Linked DNA regions of Mytilus edulis. The protein of the gene in region 1 purifies or fractionates together with the protein of each later gene. This does not show direct contact. Links are inferred from orthologs where the notes say so. Each region holds a gene or a part of one and is shown in the gene's direction. Other genes may lie near its edges.

Region 1 (7,563 bases):
TATTGATATTTGCCATTGCACATTAAACCATTAATCATCAATTTAAAGTGAGCAATACGGAGTCCATGCTACGGTTAAGCTTTATTCTGTAATACATGCTCTTTTATTTGAAGATTCTTGCTTAAATTTTGTTAATAGCATTGTACATATATTTATGTAGATTTCTTTACAGGTATTGCATTTCGAACCATTTCTTTGCGACCAATGGTAATTTATGGAGAGCTTGATCAACATTTTATACCTCAGGCTATAGAAGCTGGACTGCAAAACAAAAAGATCATGATTGATTTTTGTGGCAATGGAGCATGTTGTCTTGTTTACGTTGGAAATATAGCTTGGGCTTTTGTATGTGCTTATAAAGCAATGAGGTCAGATAAAACGCTTGGAGGCGAAGCCTTTCTTATTAAAGATAACAGTCCTAATAAATCAATGATGAAGTTTTGTAAACCATACTTTGATTCATTCAATATATCATTGTATCGGTCGTTTGTTCCTTATTGGATTCTGTATGTACTGATAAGTTTTATTCACATTTTACTGTTTTTAATTTCACCATTGAAGAAAGTGCAATTTCCAGTAACAACAGCAACACTTATATATACAAATTTAGCGCTGTCGTTCGACGATTCAAAAGCTAGAAAAATGTTACAGTACAAACCTTTGTACACTCCCGTAGAGAGTTACAAATGTTCACTTAAGTATTATAATTCACTTAACTTTGATAATAAAAAGAAACACTAGTTATATTTTTCCTATAATCTATTTTGATTTTTAGTTATGGCCACACAGAAAAGTGTCAATAAATAAACTGCACCATACAAATGAAAACAAGGAAAAAAGATAAAACGTAATGTCGTGTAAAACCCCAGTCGTTTGCATAGTAAACCCCAATAGCATCAATTATATGCCAAATACGTATCACAACCAAAGAAAACATTCCTAAAAATTGGCGATACTCAATTACACAAATTGAACAACTAATATGTGCCTTGAAAAAAAGCAACTTGACAAGCAATCAAATTGAGAATGGAAATGATAAATGTGTCGAAGAGGGACGCCCAAAGAGCACAAAAAACAGCCGAAAGGTTTTAAACACAACGAGAAAATCCCGAACCCGGAGGCGTGCTTCAGCTGGCCCCTAAACAAAAAAGTGTACTGATAATAGACATCATACTAGACTCCGAAATATATAAATGAACTAGAATAGCCCGAGGCTCCAGACTTGGGACAGGTGCAAAAATGCAGCGAGGTAAAACATGTTTTGTGAGATTTCAACCCTCCCCTAAACCTGTAACCAATATAGAAAAAACAAACACACTACAATATGCACAATAAAACTCAGTTTAAAAGAAGTTTGAGTCTGATGTCAGAAAAGGTAACAAAAGAAACTAAACAAAATGACAATGATGCATAAATGAACAAAGGACTATAGCTACTAGCAGTTGCTGACATGCCAGGATCGTATGAAATAAACATAATTATACTTAAACGGTAACTGTAGTTGTTTACCTTCTACGTTATATTAGTCTCTTATGGAGAGTTATCTCATTTGCAATCATACCTTCATACTTTTGTATAAATCTTATTGTGACAATTTGTTATAGTGTGGAATCGTATCCGGTCTCAATCTGTGAAGAGATAATGCGAATATTACGGGTTGTGTTCGTTATGACCCATTTATGGGCATTATGTTTTCTGATCTGTGCGTCCGTTCGTTCGTTCGTCTGTCCCGCTTCAGGTTAAAGTTTTGGTTAAAGTGTTTGGTCGAGGTAGTTTTTGATGAAGTTGAAGTCCAATCATCTTGAAACTTAGTCCACATGTTCCCTATGATATGATCTTTCTAATGTTAATTTCAAATTAGAGATTTTCCCCCATTTTCACAGTCCATTGAACATAGAAAATGATAGTGTGGATGGAGCATCCGTGTACTGGGGACACATTCTTGTTTCTTATTCATTTGTATCTTCTAAATGAATTTTTGAGATTAAGAAGAGTAAATTACTGTTGCTTCTAAGTTAAATAAAACAGACATGGCCATGACTTTTGGCATTTTCAACTGAGCATTGACTTTGGTAAATACGAGAGGAAGGCTATGCTATTGCATGATAAAAAAAGTTACATTTGCCTAACAATTAAAACATTCATGTTTATCAAGTTAAAATCTAAACCCAACTTATAAAGGTCTGCGTGAGGAGCGCAATATCGGATTGTATTTCCTTTTCACGACCAATCTTGTTACCGCATTGCTTGCAAGAGACTACTTGAATCATCATCGTTTTATGGTCAAACCCATGTCTATAATGTTGAATCTCAATATCATATTCACTCATCATCTCTAAGCACCAGGGTTATAAACCCTCGGAGATTGCAATCGCAGTAGCCATGTTAAGGAATTCATTGTTGATTATTCGAACAATACAGGTTACTCAAAGCTAGTTACATCTGAAGTGCCTAAGTAAGATATCGACTGGAAGTACTAGTAGCTTTTTTTGTGACACACTATTTCATTTTGAATATGAAAACAAGCCGATACAACTTTTTATAAATTGTGCATATTCTATTATCTGTTTGTGATAACACATGCAGCCCCTAAATATATTTTTCTTTCTTGTATCACTGTTATAAATGAATGGTTTTAATCACGGTTTGCCAAAATTACAGATTTGGTCAATTTTGATTTTAGATTTTCAAAAAATCTAAATTGATATATCTTTTAATATTGTTCTCTGCTGTTTATTGTGTGTCATAATGTAAATATGTTCGTGTTGCTATAGCATTTAACTACATATACTTTGCAAATACAGATTTCATTCATTCAAATATATGGAAGAGGAAACACATCTTTTAAAGTGATGCCATTAACTGTCCTATAGTCTACACATAATAGCTGACTAAAACACAACTACAAACAAAACAAAACTAAACAAATCCGTATAGAAGAATGCTCGTAGTTCATGAAATATAACCTTCTACTGTATACGCAGATACGATCTTTCATACATGGCAAAATACAAACCAGTATGAAATTTTGATACAAAAAACCTAAAGAAACATTGTAGTTTTGATTTCAATTGTTAAAGATCTATTTGATGTTTATATTGCAAAAAAACAAATTACCAGGATGTAACAAAAATTTAACACAAGTCAACATTAAAATTTAGTAAGCCCATTAGGGACGACATTAAAAGTTCAATGAAGGATAAAAAACTTAATTCAAATAGTTTTTTCACTGACCCCCCTACCCCCTATTAACTTAATTTGGGAAAAATTGATTGACCCATGTGGATATATGTAAAAATCAATGTCGGATAGCCAAATCTTGCAGCAGTTCAACCCCCACCCAAACTATTAAGTTTTTTTGTTTTTTTTTTATCTTACATTGATCTTTTGATGTCGTCCCTTAGCTGAGAAGAAACAAGATGTAAGAACAGTTCATAAACTTTTTAGTTTTACAAATGGCGTTGTCGTTAAGTGTTGGATATGAAATGCCACTATTTATTAATTTCCTACAATTCAGTGAATACTGCCATAAACTTTATCGAGTTAGTAATGTACGGTCAAAGTTGTGTGAAGACAATTTCAGCCTTTCCAAAAATTTCATTTCTATATGAGTAACATTATATGCATGCCTAGTTTATAATTATAAATGGTTTTTTTTTTTTTATTAAAGTGTGTGTGTCAGGCCTATCCACCACAGTGAATGGCTGGTAAGTTTGGGATATTTGACTTAAAGTTAAAGTAGATACCATCAAAACTGTTATCATGCTAGAATACTTGTTTCCGTTAGAATTGTTTTACATTTGTTGTGCCGGTGCCTTTTATAGCTTTTATGCGGTATGGATTTCAAGTTCTTATTGTAGAATGTCTGCTTACGGTAGCCTATAAATGCTAACATCTAAGATCATCTAAGTCATTGGGTCAAACAACATCTTTTTATTTTATATGAAAAGAAGTATAAATTATAGCTCAACTTTATAACTGAAAAATTAATGACCACTGTATATTCCTTCAAAGTTCTTAAAAATTTAGAGTTTCTTTCTTACAGTCAATCATATGAACAGTATCCGTTGACTTTAATTTCATGACAAACCAAGACAAAATTTTGATGAAACATATAAAAGGTTCTTTTTTTTATTATTTTCATTTCTTTGTTATAGTTATTGTCTTTAATTTGCTTTACTTCGGGAGATAAAATTCATCGTTCATGTACGTTTGCAGTCTTGTAAACTAGTACAAAGAGATGTGGAGCAGCAAACAAAGAAAATAAACAAAAAATACCTCAAACTTCAACCGAAAGGGGGGCAATTGATCCTGCTAGGAGCAGTATAAAGACATGTAAGCTAAATTTCATATAGTAAGTTATTCTGTCTATAAATTTCAGCCATACTATTTGCCCTTTAACATGTTAAATATCGCCAAAAGATATGTGTAAAAGTGGGTATGTATGTACAAATGCTATAAATACATTTGGGCTAATCGGATACCTATTTAAAATTTTATCTCACATGATCTTAAAATCAGGTGAATTTTATTTATAACACAGGAAATGGACAAATCAATTATGGTGTGTATATTCATATTTCAGGTAAATACAATATTTACGTTCAACGTTTTCCAATTCAGACCCAAAATAAACACTCTTAATTTGAAACACAATCTACACCGCCGCATATATTTATTTGTGAACAGGAAAGAAAATACAAACACTATAGACCATCTTTTACTCCTGCTATCAAACTCAAAGAATAACTTCTCTGTATAAATAAGATTCAATGAATTATGAATAAATAAATGTCAACATACTATAATATATACGTGGTAGGTCATCACAGAAACCTATAATAGAGAATGTTATTTCAACAAAATGTGTAAACTTATGTAATTACACCCAATTCGACGACCTCAACGGTATACCATTGGCATGGTTTGCTAGTACATGGCCGTATATCGAACTGTGTGTTCCTGCAAGGACCTTGCACATATACTATACTATTCTCAGCGAGAACATGGATAGTCTATACTAACTATATTAGTATATAATGTCCCTGGATAGTCAGTATAAGAACTACCCGGTATCCTTACGTCTGGGACCAGATATATATATGTATTATATATCTTTACTGCATGGGACCTAAATGAGGACTTTATATTGCCATTATATCATTAGATGTATCAGTATGCCCAGTGAGGTTATGTCACGAGGTCATATAACCTCCTTGGTATGCCTGAGCTTGTTAATAAACTGTCCTAAATATGGAAAATCTCTAAATGGAACCTCTGAATTATTTCCCAGCACAAACTCCTCAGCACCTTTTATCACGGTCCAAAAATCTGTCCAAAGCCTTTTAAAGTTATTTAAATATATGTTTCGAGTTGATTGTGACGTCCATTTTCACACTAGAACACATTTTTGTCTAGTGGACAGCCAAAGCAGCCGCGGGTATAAATCTTTTTTTTTCTAATATAGGATTTCGCTATATTTTTCTATAAATGACGGGAAAATACGAAAACCAGTAAGAAAACTTGAACATGACGCAGCGGCATTAATTGTGCCAGGTTGTGTGGTGTAACTTCAGTGTTTATTGTGTAACCCGTTTTCGCCTCCTGACAGAATGCATGGGGTCATTGCCGTTTTCAAGATTTGTCAGAGGTTTGGTGAAGCATGGACTTTTCTATGCTGTGTTTTGTAGACTGTTGTTTGTCTTTCGCTTCGTTTTTTAAGCATGGCTTAGTTTTCCTTCACTGATGATGTAGTGTTGTCTAACAACGAAAATGCGCGTTCATAATATAAAATCAAGATAACTTTAAGCTTATGGTCTACACAAGTTTCATTTGAATCAAAGACATATATATATAGTATCATGTACGTCTCTAGGTTGGATAGACAAATTATGCTAGATCGATACCTGTGTTATATTAATATATTTTTTTATAAACAAGTGTTAGTTTTGAGATATCTAAGTCTTGAAGTTAGAATAAATAGCAAACCAAAGTCTTAGTTTGTGGTCAGTCCACTCCTGTCACCTTTTAACGATTCTTTTATTTTCTTTTGTTACATCTTCTGACATCGGACTCGGACTTCTCCTGAACTGAATTTTAATGTGCGTATTGTTATGCGTTACTTTTCTACATTGGCTAGACTGGTAATGGGGAGGGTTCAGATCATCTCATAAGCATGTTCAACCACGCCGCAATTTTGCGCCTGTCCAAAGTCAGGAACCCATGGCCTTTGCTAGTCTTGTATGATTTTTAATTTTAGTTTCCTGTGTATAATTCGGAGTTTGGTATGTACTAGTGTACATATTTTTAAGGGGCCAGCTGAAGGACGCCTACGGGTGCGGGAGTTTCTCGCTCCTTTGAAGACCCCGATGATTGGTGGCCTCCAGCTGTTGTTTACTCTATATATATATGGTCGGGTTGTTGTCGCTTAGACATTATCCCCATTTCCTTTCCAGGCACTCGTCTCAGATCCCTATATACCTGAAGTTATAATAAGGAGGCCCCTCATGGGGGGTCCTAGTAATCACATAATCACCATTTTTTTGCCAATATAATCACATAATCATTAAATATTTGCTTATCTTTAGTAATCAAATAATCATAAACTAAAAATACAGTCCTAGGTAATCAAATAATCATGAAATATTTGGCTTAATAATCAAATAATCATTAAAAAAACGGCCAAGTAATCACATAATCAAAAACCCCATGAGGGCCCTCAATAAGGTATATACGATTTTTTTTTCTGAGACAAGTGCCTGTGCAGTGAGTGGCGGCTCCAGCCATTTAAAAAAAGGGGGGTCCCAATTAACCCAGAGTAAAGGGGGGTTCCAACTATATGCTCCCATTCAAATGCATTGATCGGCAAAAAAAAAGGGGGGATTCCAACCCCGGGAACCCCCCCCCCCCCCCTTTTGGATCCGCCACTGAGCACTGTGTAGTTCCTTTCTCAATTTTAGATAAATTATGTAATTGCAAGCACTATTTGGTAGTTTCTTTCCCCGACGCTTCGAGTTCCCATTTTGTTTGCAGGTCCAAAAGATTTTTATAGAGCTAGAGGAGATGCTATAAGTAACAAGTCTTGGAAGTCCAAATTTGACATTCTTCTTCATCTTACAGTAAGTGGCCAAGGTCAACTGATTGACCATGTTGACTATCATGTCACAAAGTGACATTTTTGGAGTGCGCCCATGAAAATAATTTTAAATTTATATATCTTTATAGGTGACATGAGTAAAACTTTATTTTGGTTCGGCAAATTGACAAACATATTACAAAATAAGCTCTATTGTATTTTTTTCTTTCAGATCAGAAACCAGACTGAGTAACATATATGCCTCCCCCTTTTTGAAAGTAAATGGTCAGTCCCTAAGTTAAAAATATAACATGATTTATGATTTTTCTTTTATCATTTTATAATTGCTACTCACTGGCACTGCCATGACTTTCAGTCAATTGAAGAACATCGCCTTCTGGCACTGTCATGACTTTCAGCCAGTAGAAGAACATCGCCTTCTTCTTTGTCATTCAGTACGCCATCCTCATGCTGATAATAATGTGCCT
Region 2 (7,343 bases), on another chromosome or scaffold:
GATACTGAAAAGTTCACAAAGGTGGTTTAAACTTTTGTTTAGACTTTGTGTAGACAATCTATAGAGCCGCCTGGAGTATGTCTACATCCATGCTCCAGTTCAGATTGTACCAAATTCTTCTCCTCTTCCAGTTCTGACAGGTTGTTGAGAAGTCTCATTCGTCTTGGTATCCAGTAGTTCATGCCACGCCCATGACGGTTTCCTAACCCTCGTTGCTTCACCCTCCATGCATTTGGTATTTTCTTGTTTTCCTCACGCATCTGTCGGAAATGGATTTTCTTTTCAAGATTTTCTTGACGACGACAACGACGCTTAGTTTTCATTTCATCGTTTATATACTCATCTGGTTTATCTTGTGACTCGACGAACATCTTGCGTATATTCTTTTTAAACGGACCATTTCTCAATTGTTTGTCACCGTGGTGACCATTTCGGCATTTACGATCATGACATTCCGCGGTATGATGGTGTGGACCAAATTTACCAAACCGTCTCCCTGCATTAAACCGACCAAATTGTACTGCTCTAGATATTGTCCCAGTGATACGACTTGGACAACTTCTTGCACGGTGATGATTTTTCAGTTTCAGTTTTATCACTGCATTGTCTTTATCTTTACCAAATTTGCCTTCTTTACGTCCGAATCTTCCACGGCCCACCTTTTCTTTTCTTGTAGACGGAGGTCCTGAATTCATACTTCCTTCCTGGTTAGTGGATTCTGGAGTCAAATCTCCAATTTCAAAATGTGCGAGTTTGTTCCTTATGCGCCAGATGCGTTTTTGCAGACGATCGTTCTCACCATTTTGATTCTTGTGGCCTTCAGTTCTTGTGTTTAATGAATGTTCCATTTCTTGTTGTCGCTTCAACCATTTTTGTTGTCTTCTGTTAAACCAGGCTTCCATTTCTTCATTAGATTTCCTCTGCATTTTGTTTCCATGACGACGATGATAAAATCTAAAAGATTCAAGCGCAGATTCATAGTTACCTGGTCTTATTTTGAATATAGACCGCCCATTATTCTGGTCAACGTTGAAATCAGGAGACTTCTACAAAAAATATACGAAAAATAGGTCATTATTATAAGTTCAACTGAGAATTTAATTTTATATTGCACGCAAGAGTAGTTCGTCTTTTTATTTATATGGATGTTAAACAATTTAATGTATATAAATTACTTTCAAAACATGATTTGTGTGATAAAATAGGGTGTATTCAGATGGATATGTGGCTATACACATTTATAAGACTACGAAGTCCGTATTTGAGTTTCTGTCTGTGTTTTTTTTCATCGTTTACAAATTGGTTAATTGCTTCTAGTTGATCATTCAGTTTGTTTCGGTAAGCAAATAAGAAAGTTGGAAGTTCCTCTTATCTTAATTTTACTTACCATCATTTGAGCTTTGTGCAGCCTTCTCCCAGCTTCTTTCTGTTTATTGACTGTGTTACAATATTTAAGCTGGGGTACACTTTTCATATATTTCTGTTGGTCAACTGAAATAAATAAATGTATAATTTAACATGCATTGAACTATACATTATAAACTTACCCACATAAAATATTCATGAATCAAATATTTCACACAAAAATTACATTGTAAAATCGAGATTTCGATCTGAATAATGTCATTATTAATTCAGCAAAAAGTTCTAATTGCAGTTAAACAAGAAAAAGACAAGATAGTAGAGCGATGCATATTGCAAATCAAAAGCAGTGATATAAGCGTATCAATTTAATGACTATTTTAGAGGCGAATTTAGGGGGAGGGGAGGGGTATCCTGGAAAAAATGGTTGATTATATAGGGAACCACTGAAGCATGACTAAAGCGGCCCCCTATTAGGCAGACATTGTACCCCTTATAAAAATGTCTAGATCCGCCTCTGATGACCGTGAAAAATAGACGCAATTAGGATTTCATTTCATGTCCATAGCTATGAACGATGTTCTATAAGAATTTATTTTAAGAATTTTATTAATCTAATCAAGAACCCATAAAGGGCATCATTTTACAACACGATATGATTGGAAAAAGCAAAACAGAAAACTAATACCATACTATAACGTTATGGACAGGATCAGAGCCTAACAGATCATGAAACTATTTCTGTTTTATCAAAATCAATTGCTCTTTCAAGAACAAGAGACATGATAAACTAATTGTTTATTACTTCTATGTGATTCAAATGTAGATGTCTCATATCTTCGGGGCTGACGGCCCTCGGATACGAAAATCCTACATCTAATACATGTGCGATGATTTTATATTCGGCACTGATATGTTAAACGAACAAAAGAGACCGAAGTTTGAGCAAAAGAATTTCTATAACGAGGAAAATTCCAACATATACATGCTTATAAAAAATGACACAGCTAATATGATTTTGTTTGTATCAAGATTTTGGATTCTGTATCAATAAAAATCTCTTAACAGAATTTATAGTTCTTAAATCTATATTTAATAAGTTATGTTTTTAATTTTTTCAAGTCTTTATCTTTTTTTTTTTTACCTTTTCAGGCACTAGACATGAACTGCATATACGATAAATCAAATGGCTTACCTGTGACGAACATTCTAAATATACCACCGGAGACACCTTCCAACGCCTCTTGTAGTTCTTCGTCTGAAGAAAATGAGACAAGATCGCCATCAGCATCTACAATTGATATAACATGGTGATTAATTACTCCCTGTTTTATGAAATTAATATTATAAAATCATGCGCATGTGGCCTACGATGCAGACACTGGCAACCCTAAGCTTTTACTGCTATAATTGATCACGTATTTCACTCCAACACAGATCACATAAGTTTTGAAAAGGGGTGTACATTATCTCTCTTCTTTTAAATAAGTTGAACAAAATAGGTAAAATAGTTCCCCATGCATAAAACAAAACCAGCATTTTTCACATTTTTAATTCGGATTTAATTGGCAAAAAAACAGCAAGTTTCAAAAGTTTCTTTTGTTCATCACTTTTATTTAATTAAAAGAGCAGCACATTTTATTTCAATCACGTTTCCGTCCATTATTTTTTTCCATTATACTAGAGCTCTGACATTATAAATTAATAAACAAACAGTTTCAATATATACATATTTTGTCTTTATTTAAATAAATATTTTCTATATAAATAACTTATATTTACTTATCTTTCATCGATCTATCTATATATATATGTGTATATTTACCTGAGTTAATTATAATATGTTAACTTACCTTTCCACATTAGTTCACATTTATCTGTGAAAATCTTGGTAATTTTCCTCTTCAGGAATTCATAGCTCAAATTTTCATCGACAGTAAATCGTCGGAATTCAGAGGTTTCGTCTTCTTTAATAAAGGCTGCTTTAATTACGAGCGGCATTTTCACAGTTGATTCGAACTTTATTTTCGTCGCTACAAATGCGCATTTAAACGAATCATCGCTTTTTATACCATTCATCTAACATGTCCCATGACCGTGAGTCATAGACGAAAATAGATGAAAAGAATGTTCTAGAACAACGATGAAATACCTCGTGATGATGAGTCAACGGTTTTTAAATTAGATGAAATCGAATAACGTCATTCTATTTGTACAACTTATTAAAGGTTTACAGTGAGTCACGCGGTAGATGAATAGACGAAAGAGGATTGTATTTGTTCAACTTATTAAAGGTTTACAATAAGCCACGCGGTAGATGAATAGACGAAAGAGGATTGTAAAGAATCAAAGAGAAAAATTTGGCAATTTATCAAAGGAGCAATTAAACGATTTAAAACGTTTTATTTAAAATTAAGGTTACAGAACATTTGAGGGGCCTTACTAGGTAACAACATACACATTATTAACAAATATTACTTTTTTTTATCTCCTGAAACAAGGAACATATTTATTTATTGATATTAAATTCAAAACTGAAAGGTCACGAGTCATTCACATGCAACCGACAAAACAGGGTTTCCAAAAATATTTGACCAGGTTTATTGTGATGAAAATCAGGTTTATTGTGATGAAAATTTTCGAAATATCATAACTAGTTTATAAGCAACTAATATCAAACTAGCGTACACGGCAGCGCCTTACTTAATTGAAAAGATACACATTAAATATGATAGAGAACATGCAAAAAAAAAAAAGATAATCACAAAATTCATCCATTCCTAGTCATGATCAAGATATGTACATGTATGTAAGTTTGTGTGTGTGTGAACTTGGGGAGGGTTGAACTTTTTTTACATTTGGGTTCTTAAATAAACGGGAAGAAATTGTACTATTTAAAGTTCACTCCCTTTTAAAACAAAACTGTTTAGACTAACACAATAGTATATCACAAACAAACAAACATATTTAAGTACACCACACAAATACGATAATTATATAAGTTGTTTTTAAGGAAAACGGAATAGTTTTATCAGATATTTTTTAGGAATATTGTTTATTTACAACTCTGTATATTTGGCCGATTTGATCCATTTCTAGTTTGTACGGATGGGCATATGTTTTTTTGGTGTTTTTTTTTTATGAAATTCAAGGTACACTTGAGTTATATAAATAATCCTTGCAGAAATTTTCAGGATTATAGAGTTCTCTTAAAAAGTAGGACTCAACATAAAGAAAAGAAGGACTGGGGGGAGAATGTCACTGTGTGTGTACTATATATATATTTTATTCTGAAGAGCCTACTATAGAAAGTTTTACTATTAAAACATTTTCTCCAAATATTGGAGCGACCCATATTATACGGAGATCAAGAGTACTTTGGGAGTTGCATATCATGATACTGCGGTTGGCCTGGTAGGAACTGCTTATATTCAACATTGACAAATAAAAAACAAAACATAGAATGAAAATGAATAGCTTGTCAAGCAAAACGTAGAAAATGTAAAAGTGAAATAAATTAAAACAATACAGTTTCTCATGAATATGATTTACACCTGATGGATTTAGTGGTCGAAAAAGGGTGGGGTGGTCCCTCTTATATGAGCTATATTTTTTCATAATCCTTGTCATCATCTGAATCGACACAAACATATATCTCCTATCTACTCCTCCCCAGAGAATCGTTTATAATTTAATTTTCAATTTGTGACAAATTAGCCTAACAAATCTTACTATACAAATATTTGATACAATGTGAAAAAAAATATTTGATATAAATGGAAATTGACATTGCTAATTGTTTGTATGTCAGAAATTCAAGAATAACGTATTCGTCATGGTCATAAGTTTCTTATTCTCTGTTCAATTTCGTCGTGTCATTTTGTGTTGCATAAAGAGGAAACATGTGTGCTACTAAAAATAGACATGACATCGTTGTTTGTTGATATTTTTCAGAACGGAACTTGCGCATTACACTCATATTTGAACAAATGTTTGTCATCATTACTTTCAATTACCTGGTCTAGTTGGTTCTGGAATTAAATCTTTCGTCGATTCATCGTCATTCATACCTGACAACTTGGGCTTATAAAAAGAGAAGAGTTGACGAATTTAGACATAACTCTATTTGGTAGCAAAGTGGACACAACGTCAACAACAACAATTTCCCGCGAAGATGTCATTGACAGTAAAAGCCTATTTGGTAAATAAAGGAGAGGAAAAGAGAGAAATACGTAGATTTGCTGTGCCTGCTGATGTTTCAAGCAGCTTCAGCTATCTTCAGAAGAAAGTGGCGGATATTTATCCTACCCTAAAGCAAGGAAATTTTAATCTATATTGGACTGGTAAGTTGATTTTGATTATTTTAATTTACACTATTTACAAAAGCGATATACCTGTACATTTGTACATAACATGATATACTATAATAGGCAACCAAAAGATTAACTGTATACGGTTGTATGCAGCTGTTATAAAACTGATTGCTACATGTAGTAAATAGGATAGAAAATAAAAACAATCTTGTCATATATATATATAACACTGATGGTTTCACGGATTTGATATATTCCATATTTTCGATGCAATATGTCAATTTATGCAATGAAAGGAAGCTTTTATAAATTGAAATGCTGTCTGTAAAAAGGTTTATTTATTTTGTCTAGGTATTTTGAATTTCCATTTTACTTTTGGTTAAGTTTAAAATTAATTATGTAATTTATTATGTTCTGTTAAATGCCCTTGATGTTTCATCATATATATATATAATGTTGTATACCTGTACAAAAATGTATATCCTGTATAATTTGTCTAATAATAGTTGACCTGCTTTCAAACCAGGCTTATTGCAATTTAAAATGCTGCATTATTAGTTTGTTGAATTTAAAGTCATAAGAAACGAGTGACCGGTGAAAAATAATGTTCTTCCAATTCTTGAAGTAATGCATACAAACATCCTAAACCTCGTCTTCTGTGCTCCAATTTATCATTTTTTTCGTGTAAATTTCGTATAATTGTCAATTTTTTTTCTCAATCGGTCAGTGTTGTTGTGAAAATATGGCAGGTAATTAAAGTTCGTGTTTTGAAGCCGAAGTTTAACGATTGTCACCTGTTTGTCAACAATTGACGAAAAATAAACAAAAAAGCATGGAAATTGAGCACGTGTTTAACATGTAAATTCAGATAATAGTTTATTTTAAGGACATCCATGCGTATTGTGGTCACCGGATTTTTACGAGATGGGTCACACTGAGGTCACCTTGCATACGGAAAATATGTCGGGGGAATAGCTTGCTGGAAGGAAGCTATTCAAATAAAGTAAACTTCTTCTAAATATGAATAAATTAAAGAATTTTCTTCAGAAAAAAGTATATGTACATAAGTTTTATAATGAAAACTATCCATTGAGTTATAAAAATCATATGCATTATTTTTTTTTTTGATTTGAGGTTTCTTATGACTTTAAAGTGATCAGATGTTTAAATAATTTTTTATAACAAGATTATAATTCTTTTTCCAGTCATTGTTTCAATAAATGCAAGAAATTTTTAAATGTTTTTGACTCTTGTTCAATTAATCTTAATTATGTTTAAAAAATAAGATTGATTGAAACAGAAACAAATGCATGTTAATTTCCACAATAGACAATGAATGAGTTCATGTACATTTTGAACATGAATATATATATATATATAAAAATTTCCTCATGTTTACAAGGAAAACACTATTGAAACTGAAAGCTATAAGGAAACAATTACTAATATCTGAGAATAGTATGCTGACTATATATTATGTCCCTAATATAATTTATCTAGACACTCAATTTATTTGAAAAAAGTGGAAAACCCATTGCAGATTGTTCTAAAATTGTTGAGATATTTAAAGTTTCTGGGGCAGACTTAATCAGGAATTACATGTACCTATCTTATTTATTTTAGATCCGGAGGGTGACCAGATTGCCTTTTCTACAGACGATGAACTAA
Region 3 (7,501 bases), about 41 Mb from region 1:
GATGTGGTGTGAGTGCCAATGAGACAACCCTCCATCCAAATAACAATTTAAAAAAAAAAAAAAAGTAAACCATTATATATATAGGTTTATTTTACATGTATTTTACATGTATTCATACTCAAATAATTCTGTACACCCATTCTTTCAGTCTTGACACACATTTTTCAAAACTAAATATTTCATCTGGCTTTCTCTGTTTAATCTAACAGGACCAATACATCAGATTAAATATACTTCGTCTGAAATTTACCTCAACAATTTAGAGTCTGCGGTAGCAAATATAATATTCTTTTTTATGTTCTTACGTAGTTTACAGGATAATATATGACGGTTTTAAACATGACAGTTAAATACAAAAAGTACATATGCACAAAATATACGACTTTAATAACCCTGTGAACCAGAGACAGATTAAAAATGAATTTACCAGTTTAAATCGTTGAAAATAAAATCTAATCAGCTTAACCTAGAGTACAGTTACTGGTTGAATGTGAAATTTTTAGTCCCATTTTATATTTGTTAGCTTAGCTTGATAACTTTTGACTCACCTTCAACATTTTGCTTTGGAATGGGTCCTTTAGTATAAGGTTGAAAATCTGAATCCCTCTCTGCATACCGTCTACTAGCACAACTTAACTTTCCACCCATCCTTGTGACTTTTCGACTTGTTATTAATCCATTCGGTCTAAGTACATTTCACTTTTCGATTAATAGAATGGGGTGATATTTTCTTCACGTTTTCACCTAACACCAGAAACATGCATTTACCTGTTGCTTACTGCACATGTCTGCATTTTCTGATTATATAAAATATGCACTTCACCTGAGAATTGTCAATAAACAACACAGGCAATACACGTCTATTTATACTTAATCACTCATTCGTCACATCCCTTCATTAAATATCTTCCTATTGTAATGAAATATTTCCCTAGTTGTAAAGGCGGAGATCTTCTTGTCTATTAGCTATAATTATATCTGTTTCGGGTCGTCAATGATCTGAAATTTTAATCCGTGTTTCGGTTTGACCCGTGGACCGTTATGAATATTTACATTTGAACATGTTTACGATCGATTGCATGTTAAAATGTTACATGAACGAGCAGTTGTTTATTCTTCTTCATTCATAGTGTTTAAATCCTAACTTTGGCCGAATTTCAATATGTAATATTATCACCTTAATGTGTGTAATAAATCCGAATAGTTTTTTTGTTAATCCTTGTTAAAAAGCGCCAACACATATTATCCTATTAACTTTCCTAATGGATCAAATAGATTACCTGAACAGAAATGTTTATTTTTCCGTCAACACACACCTGTCTTTTTACCTGTGTATCTATCAATCGTATAGTTATGATATTGATATGAAATTTTATATTCATCATTTACAATTTTTTTTTAAAGAAGATTACAAAGTGTGAAATTTGATTCCAAACTTTAGAACAATATTTGTAGACATATTGTCGAAGACTTGTCAAAATAGGTAGAATACATATATCTCTTATGACCTGATGTATTGAAAGATAAAAAGGAAGTCACCTACATATGTCCCTATATGAAATTTATACTTATTGTGTTTCTTTTGAACTAATATTGAACAATTTGACTTGTGCCTGTCCCATGTCTTTAAATCGGGGGTTATTATTGTTTGTGGCTGCATGTAAGCATAGTATTTATTTCTCATTTATTTTTATCATGTATGTTTGTTTTCTCATTAAAATTGCGGGATCTTTTTATAGCTTGAAATGCTAAATGGGTTTTGCTCATTCGTAAGACCGTATGGTGACCTATGAATGCTACTTTCTACGTGATACTAAACTTAAACGTATGTTAGTGTCTTCTGCTCGAACCTTCTTCATGTTTTGTCCGATCGAAAGAGAGAATCGCTGGGAGTCTGGGCAAAATAAGCTTCCGCTTGATCTGCAAGTGAGAACGAATATATATTCTTTAGCAGTTTTATTTCTGTCGAGCCTTCGACTTTAGTCCTACATTCCGTCGTCGTCCTCGTCATCCACAAATATTCACTCTGTGGTTAAAAGTTTTTGAAGTTTTAATCACTTTCTTAAACTATCCTGGTTTCGACCAAACTTGGACCAAACTTGGACAGAAGCTTGTTTATGATCATAAGATAGTATCCAGAAGTCAATTTTGTAAAAATAAAATTCCGTATTTTACTTTTAAATGGTCTTAGTTTTTCTGCCAGGACACATTACATTCACTATGTGGTTAAAGTTTTCAAAATTTAAAATCTTTCTTAAACTATCCTGGTATTTCTACCAAACTTGGACAGAAGCTTGTTTATGATCATAAAATAGTATCGTAGAAGGAAATTTTGTTAAAAAATTTGTACCTGTTTATCCGTATTTTACTTATAAATGGACTTAGTTTGTCTTTCAGTTAACATTACATACAGTCTGCAGTCAGTTTTTAAAACATTTATTAAACTCATAAACTATCCTGGATTTTTACCAAACTTGGACAGAAGCTTCTTACAATCAAAAGATAGTATTGAGAGGAATTGATTCCTCCCCTCATTTTTGTTGAGCCTGCGATTAACAGCATAAGTAGGCGAGACACTGGGTTCCGCGGAACCCTTACAAATTTTTAGATTATATTTGCATTTCGTTAAATCATTTATTTTCAACCAGGGGAAACGAGAGGATTCTGAAATTTGATACCCAATGAGTCAATGGAATGTGCATCTAACTACTTTATTTATTACATAATACCAATTATCAAGTAGACATTTATCTACAGTGTCCTTCCTTACACTATATGCTCGCTCGTCTCAATGTATACTTGAAAAATAAAACAAATACAAATTCATCTATCACCTTTAAATGTTGTACTCGCACCCCATAAATCTACGTTGATTGTTTAACAAGGTAAAACTGGTAAGCTTCGGCATCAAAATCCGCCGGAAAGTATAAATATGCTGCTAAGTTTTCGGTCAACAATCACCGAAAGAAATATTACTTGTTGATTAAACTTCATAGATTCGTAGTAATATTTGTAAACACATGCGCTGAGAACTGACTATTTATTACCGGTATAACTAACTAATTTTTTTTTTAACTATATTAATATACATATGCATTCCATACTTTCTTTAACATTATTATCACGACCAGATTCTCGTTTCTTTAAAATGTCAACTGTAAAATAAAATATAGTTAACTCGAAACTGTTGATGGGGTTTATAAATCTCGCTTTTTCATGGTTAAAAGCATCGTACAAAAATGTTCATATTTTTCTTACAATGTCCTTTAATATATTTCATGCATTTTGCCCTTCAGAATCGACACGCTTTATAAAAATCTCATTTCCGTTAGTTCACAATTCCTTACACAATTAGTAATTAAATGGTCATAAAAAAACAAGTTACTGCAAAGATACACGAAAAGTAATGCATTCAGTAATCTATTTTTTTTTTAATATAACACCAATGGTACCAAAATATATATCATCTTGACACGTTTAGACTTGCGCTTTTTGATAATATTCAACAATTACCTTATTTATTTAATGTCCTGGAGCTAATTGTTGCCATTGACTTATGATATGCACAACGTAAAAATGTACCTTAAAGGCGGATAGTAATGATTTTATCTGGATCTGAGACTTAAATAAAGTCAACTAAATTGTATGCCTAAAATTTGTTGAAAAAATAGCATCTGGAAATGCTTCTCGGTCAGTCTTAAAAATCAAAAAATTAAAATTCAATAGCAAATACAATAACACATAACTTCCTGAAAAAAAAGAAAAAAAATCTTAAAGAATAAGAAATGTATGATATGATATGAAAAATATCAATGGCATCCTATACACATTGAAATCGTTCGTTTCAAGAAATTTGAAAGGTTGTCAACTTTATTCAAAATTTTGCCAAATGTTTAAGGGTTGGTAAACATGGTATGTTCTTGGTTTAAAAGCTCGTACATTTTTTTTTTATAAATTTTGCACGAAACTGTTGAAGGGTTGATAAATGAATACCTGAAAATATAAAGCCAAGGTACCATCATCAAGTGCTAGATATAATAAGATGTGGTATGAGACAAGTCTCCATCCAAGTCTCGATTTAAAAAAGTAAACCATTATAAGTACCATCATCAAGTACTGTATATTTAAATCGAGAAATCAACCGCCTTCCTGCAGCATTAAAATTCCAACTTAACTGAATAAAGCACAAAAAAAAAATCACAAGTTAAGAAAAAAATAAATAATTGAAAATTAGTTATAAATCCCTGTTTGATTTTGTCAGTTTATAAGAACACTCCTCCCCCACCCCCTTTTATATTTGCCTTAGGTTTAAATATTATTATTATCTATTTTTATAGATCAATATCCAATGATGTTCTCGGAAACTTGTTAATAAGATTTGTATAGTCACTATAGTGGTACATAAACCCAGGAACAAATATATTAGATATACTGTTCCCAGATAAACATTAGTGAATATAAAACCGGAAACTTTCTGCTGGCCCCAGGCAATAAACGATGGTATAAATATAATCGATCACCGGTCGCCACATTTTCGAAGGGGAGGTAATCTAGAACAATGGCGACAACAAGCACAATGTTGGCATCTTTGGTGGTAGTTTTGTTGCCGTTTGCAGTGTTAGGTAAGATATTCCAATCAAGAGCATCCTTAAATCATCTTACTACGATTATTTTACATAATGTTACGAAGAGAAAGCGTAGGAAATACAGTAACTGTTGTAGAAAATCCTATTTTTGATTTGCCGGTGTTGACGTGGCAGTTTCATCTGAACGTGTAACTTAATTATACACGATGCCACCTGGTAAATCTACCTGTCTAAGTCTGTTTACTAGTTTAACAAATGATTGCTGTCATGTCATTGATTGAACCTTCATGTAAACACGTAAGGAAAATATTAAGAGTGACAATCCTGAAATTCTGAAAACAACGTAACAAGTGCCGAAGTGGTCATACTCTTGCCATGCTTTTTGTGTAAACAATACACTGCTTACAATGTATTTGAAAAAGCTTATTTTCATCTATAAATAAATATTACATCTGGACACACCAAAAGGCTTCTAGAAATCACACAATCTGTATATAAGATCACAGGTGCTTGAGGACAGGATCCTGTATGAGCCCCAAATAGTCCCTCCCCCTTTTTTTATATATTTTTTTTTAATCATAAATCTCAGATTTTTCTATATATATCCCTTATTTGTACTTATTTGTACCATATATATATACTAATATACCATATTTATACTCTAAATATGCATGTTTACTATCAACGTGAATCTCAACTATAGAGCGAAGCGAAAGGTTGCCAACTTCGTTTCAAGAAATTGGGGCAATGGTCAGGAAAAATTGTTTTAAAATCTAATAAAATGTCTCTTACCGGTCTAATCAACGAGTACTTGCTGTTCCTACATAATTATCCTTATCGAATATCAATATCCAGACATAATATATTACTGTTTAAACACTTTTAATTATTTTTTTCGCTGGTGGTGTTGCTGTTTTTTGGTCCATTCAACTTCGATCAACGGAAGTCACAAAACAACGACATCTGTGTGGTCTTCAGCTCAAGAAGGATAACTCCACATGAAAACGCGGGAAATTAGATGAGTTCCGGGGTATATGCTGGATAAGAAAACATAAGAGAATTTCGAATGTAAACATTTCGAAAATCTCTGACTTTTTCTACCCCGGAACTCATCTAATTTCCCGCGTTTTCAAGTGGAGTTATCCTTCTTGAGCTGAAGACCACACAGATGTCGTTGTTTTGTAACTTCCGTTGATCGAAGTTGAATGGACCATAAAACAGCAACACCACCAGCGAAAAAAATAATTAAAAGTGTTTAAACAGTAATATATTATGTCTGGATATTGATATTCGATAAGGATAATTATGTAGGAACAGCAAGTACTCGTTGATTAGACCGGTAAGAGACATTTTATTAGATTTTAAAACAATTTTTCCTGACCATTGCCCCAATTTCTTGAAACGAAGTTGGCAACCTTTCGCTTCGCTCTATAGTCGAGATTCACGTTGATAGTAAACATGCATATTTAGAGTATAAATATGGTATATTAGTATATATATGGTACAAATTAGTACAAATAAGGGATATATATAGAAAAATCTGAGATTTATGATTAAAAAAAAATATATAAAAAAAGGGGGAGGGACTATTTGGGGCTCATACAGGATCCTGTCCTCAAGCACCTGTGTATAAGATAAAAATAAAAAGTTAGCTAAATGTTACTGTTAGTCTGACATATCCTACCGTAGTCTAAAATCGGTCATCTTGTTAGTTCGTTCGGTATTTGTGTTTGGACTTAACACACGGGGAAACTATGCATTGACGTCACTACGCTACTTCCAACAGAGAAAATCAGTGCAGAATATGTTTTTTCTACTCTTTTGAATAAAAAAACATGTCTAAATATACGTTTTCATTGTTATTCTCTAGTATTGCTCCAACATGCCAATTTTCTAATGGCCCTTTCAATCCCAACTTCCGAATGCCTAAAAACATTCTAGAACTTCACAAAATCCCACTTCCGGCCTCCCATTGCTTTGTTTACATTCCATTCGTCATCAATCTTGAGGCAGGCATTACAGTTCAAGCAAATCATATTTTTATGAATTTCAAAATGACAAGCTCCTTATGTCTTTCGTGATTTTCCCGCGAAAAAAGCCCAGCCAAAATGAAAGGAAAACTATATGAAAAACGATGTCCATGCCATAATTTTGTTCAGGAATATAGAGTACATGTACATGTAGGTCAATAAAAAACAATTTACATTAATTTTTCATAGAAAAAAAAATTGATTAATTATAAAAAGATTGATATTCTGACCATCATGACTAGGTAAATATTCATACGAAATTCCATTGATGTCGAAAGGGATGGCAAAAAATGAGGTTTCCTGATGAATAAAACCCCAAATTATTGCAAACTATTTTAAAGCAATATCCCACAAACAAATAATTTAATTGCAGTAGACTCACTGAAAAATCACCTAATTGACAATAAAGCAATTTGATTGGGTAGAACGATTTAACATCACATGATTTTGACGCCATTGGAATTTGAATGTAAACAAACAAGGTCACTAGGTTCAGTATGGGCCAGCATCGTACATTGAGTTACTGAGAAACAATTATGAGTTACCAAGCTTGACATTACATGGTAATAATAAAAAAAAAAAAAATATGAAAAAAATTTCCTTAGGTGAATGACCTTTGGATAGAACAGCTATTCTGATGTCCAACAGCTGTTTTGCCAGACCAACTTGTCTGGGCCCTTAGATGTGAGACCTAGTCCTATATCCAAAAGTAGATATTTGCCCATTCAAAAATATTAGGGAAATTAAAATCTATCTCAATATCTTTTCGTTTACATGATTTATGTAAGTTTCATCTGCATGCCACGCTTTATTTTTCTCATCGTCAGAGAAATCCTGACTAGGTAAAAATATAGATTCAAAATAACACTGCTACATGTATGCAGT

The links. The genes of interacting proteins can lie anywhere in the genome.
Region 2: the proteins of leucine-rich repeat serine/threonine-protein kinase 2-like (region 1) and sequestosome-1-like purify together in Homo sapiens (affinity purification with western blotting; 3 studies listed by BioGRID and IntAct, with this or other methods). This does not show direct contact. The link is inferred for Mytilus edulis from reciprocal best matches to the Homo sapiens genes LRRK2 and SQSTM1.
Region 3: the proteins of leucine-rich repeat serine/threonine-protein kinase 2-like (region 1) and translocon-associated protein subunit delta-like purify together in Homo sapiens (co-immunoprecipitation; 3 studies listed by IntAct, with this or other methods). This does not show direct contact. The link is inferred for Mytilus edulis from reciprocal best matches to the Homo sapiens genes LRRK2 and SSR4.

Annotation. Positions count from the first base shown.
Region 1 is NC_092344.1:55,467,571-55,475,133, reverse strand, and holds the start of leucine-rich repeat serine/threonine-protein kinase 2-like, read left to right. Parts: upstream 1-4,500; 5' UTR 4,501-4,585; intron 4,586-7,563. Other genes in the region: 3 beta-hydroxysteroid dehydrogenase/Delta 5-->4-isomerase type 1-like, read left to right, coding at 173-741. UniProt on the Homo sapiens protein: Serine/threonine-protein kinase which phosphorylates a broad range of proteins involved in multiple processes such as neuronal plasticity, innate immunity, autophagy, and vesicle trafficking.
Region 2 is NC_092351.1:5,214,337-5,221,679, reverse strand, and holds the start of sequestosome-1-like, read left to right. Parts: upstream 1-4,313; 5' UTR 4,314-4,776; intron 4,777-5,291; exon of another isoform or gene 5,292-5,316; 5' UTR 5,317-5,536; coding exon 5,537-5,705; intron 5,706-7,298; coding exon 7,299-7,343. Other genes in the region: uncharacterized protein, read right to left, coding at 39-1,046, 1,388-1,491, 2,558-2,653, 3,216-3,441. UniProt on the Homo sapiens protein: Molecular adapter required for selective macroautophagy (aggrephagy) by acting as a bridge between polyubiquitinated proteins and autophagosomes.
Region 3 is NC_092344.1:13,970,222-13,977,722, forward strand, and holds the start of translocon-associated protein subunit delta-like, read left to right. Parts: upstream 1-4,471; 5' UTR 4,472-4,558; coding exon 4,559-4,622; intron 4,623-7,501. UniProt on the Homo sapiens protein: TRAP proteins are part of a complex whose function is to bind calcium to the ER membrane and thereby regulate the retention of ER resident proteins.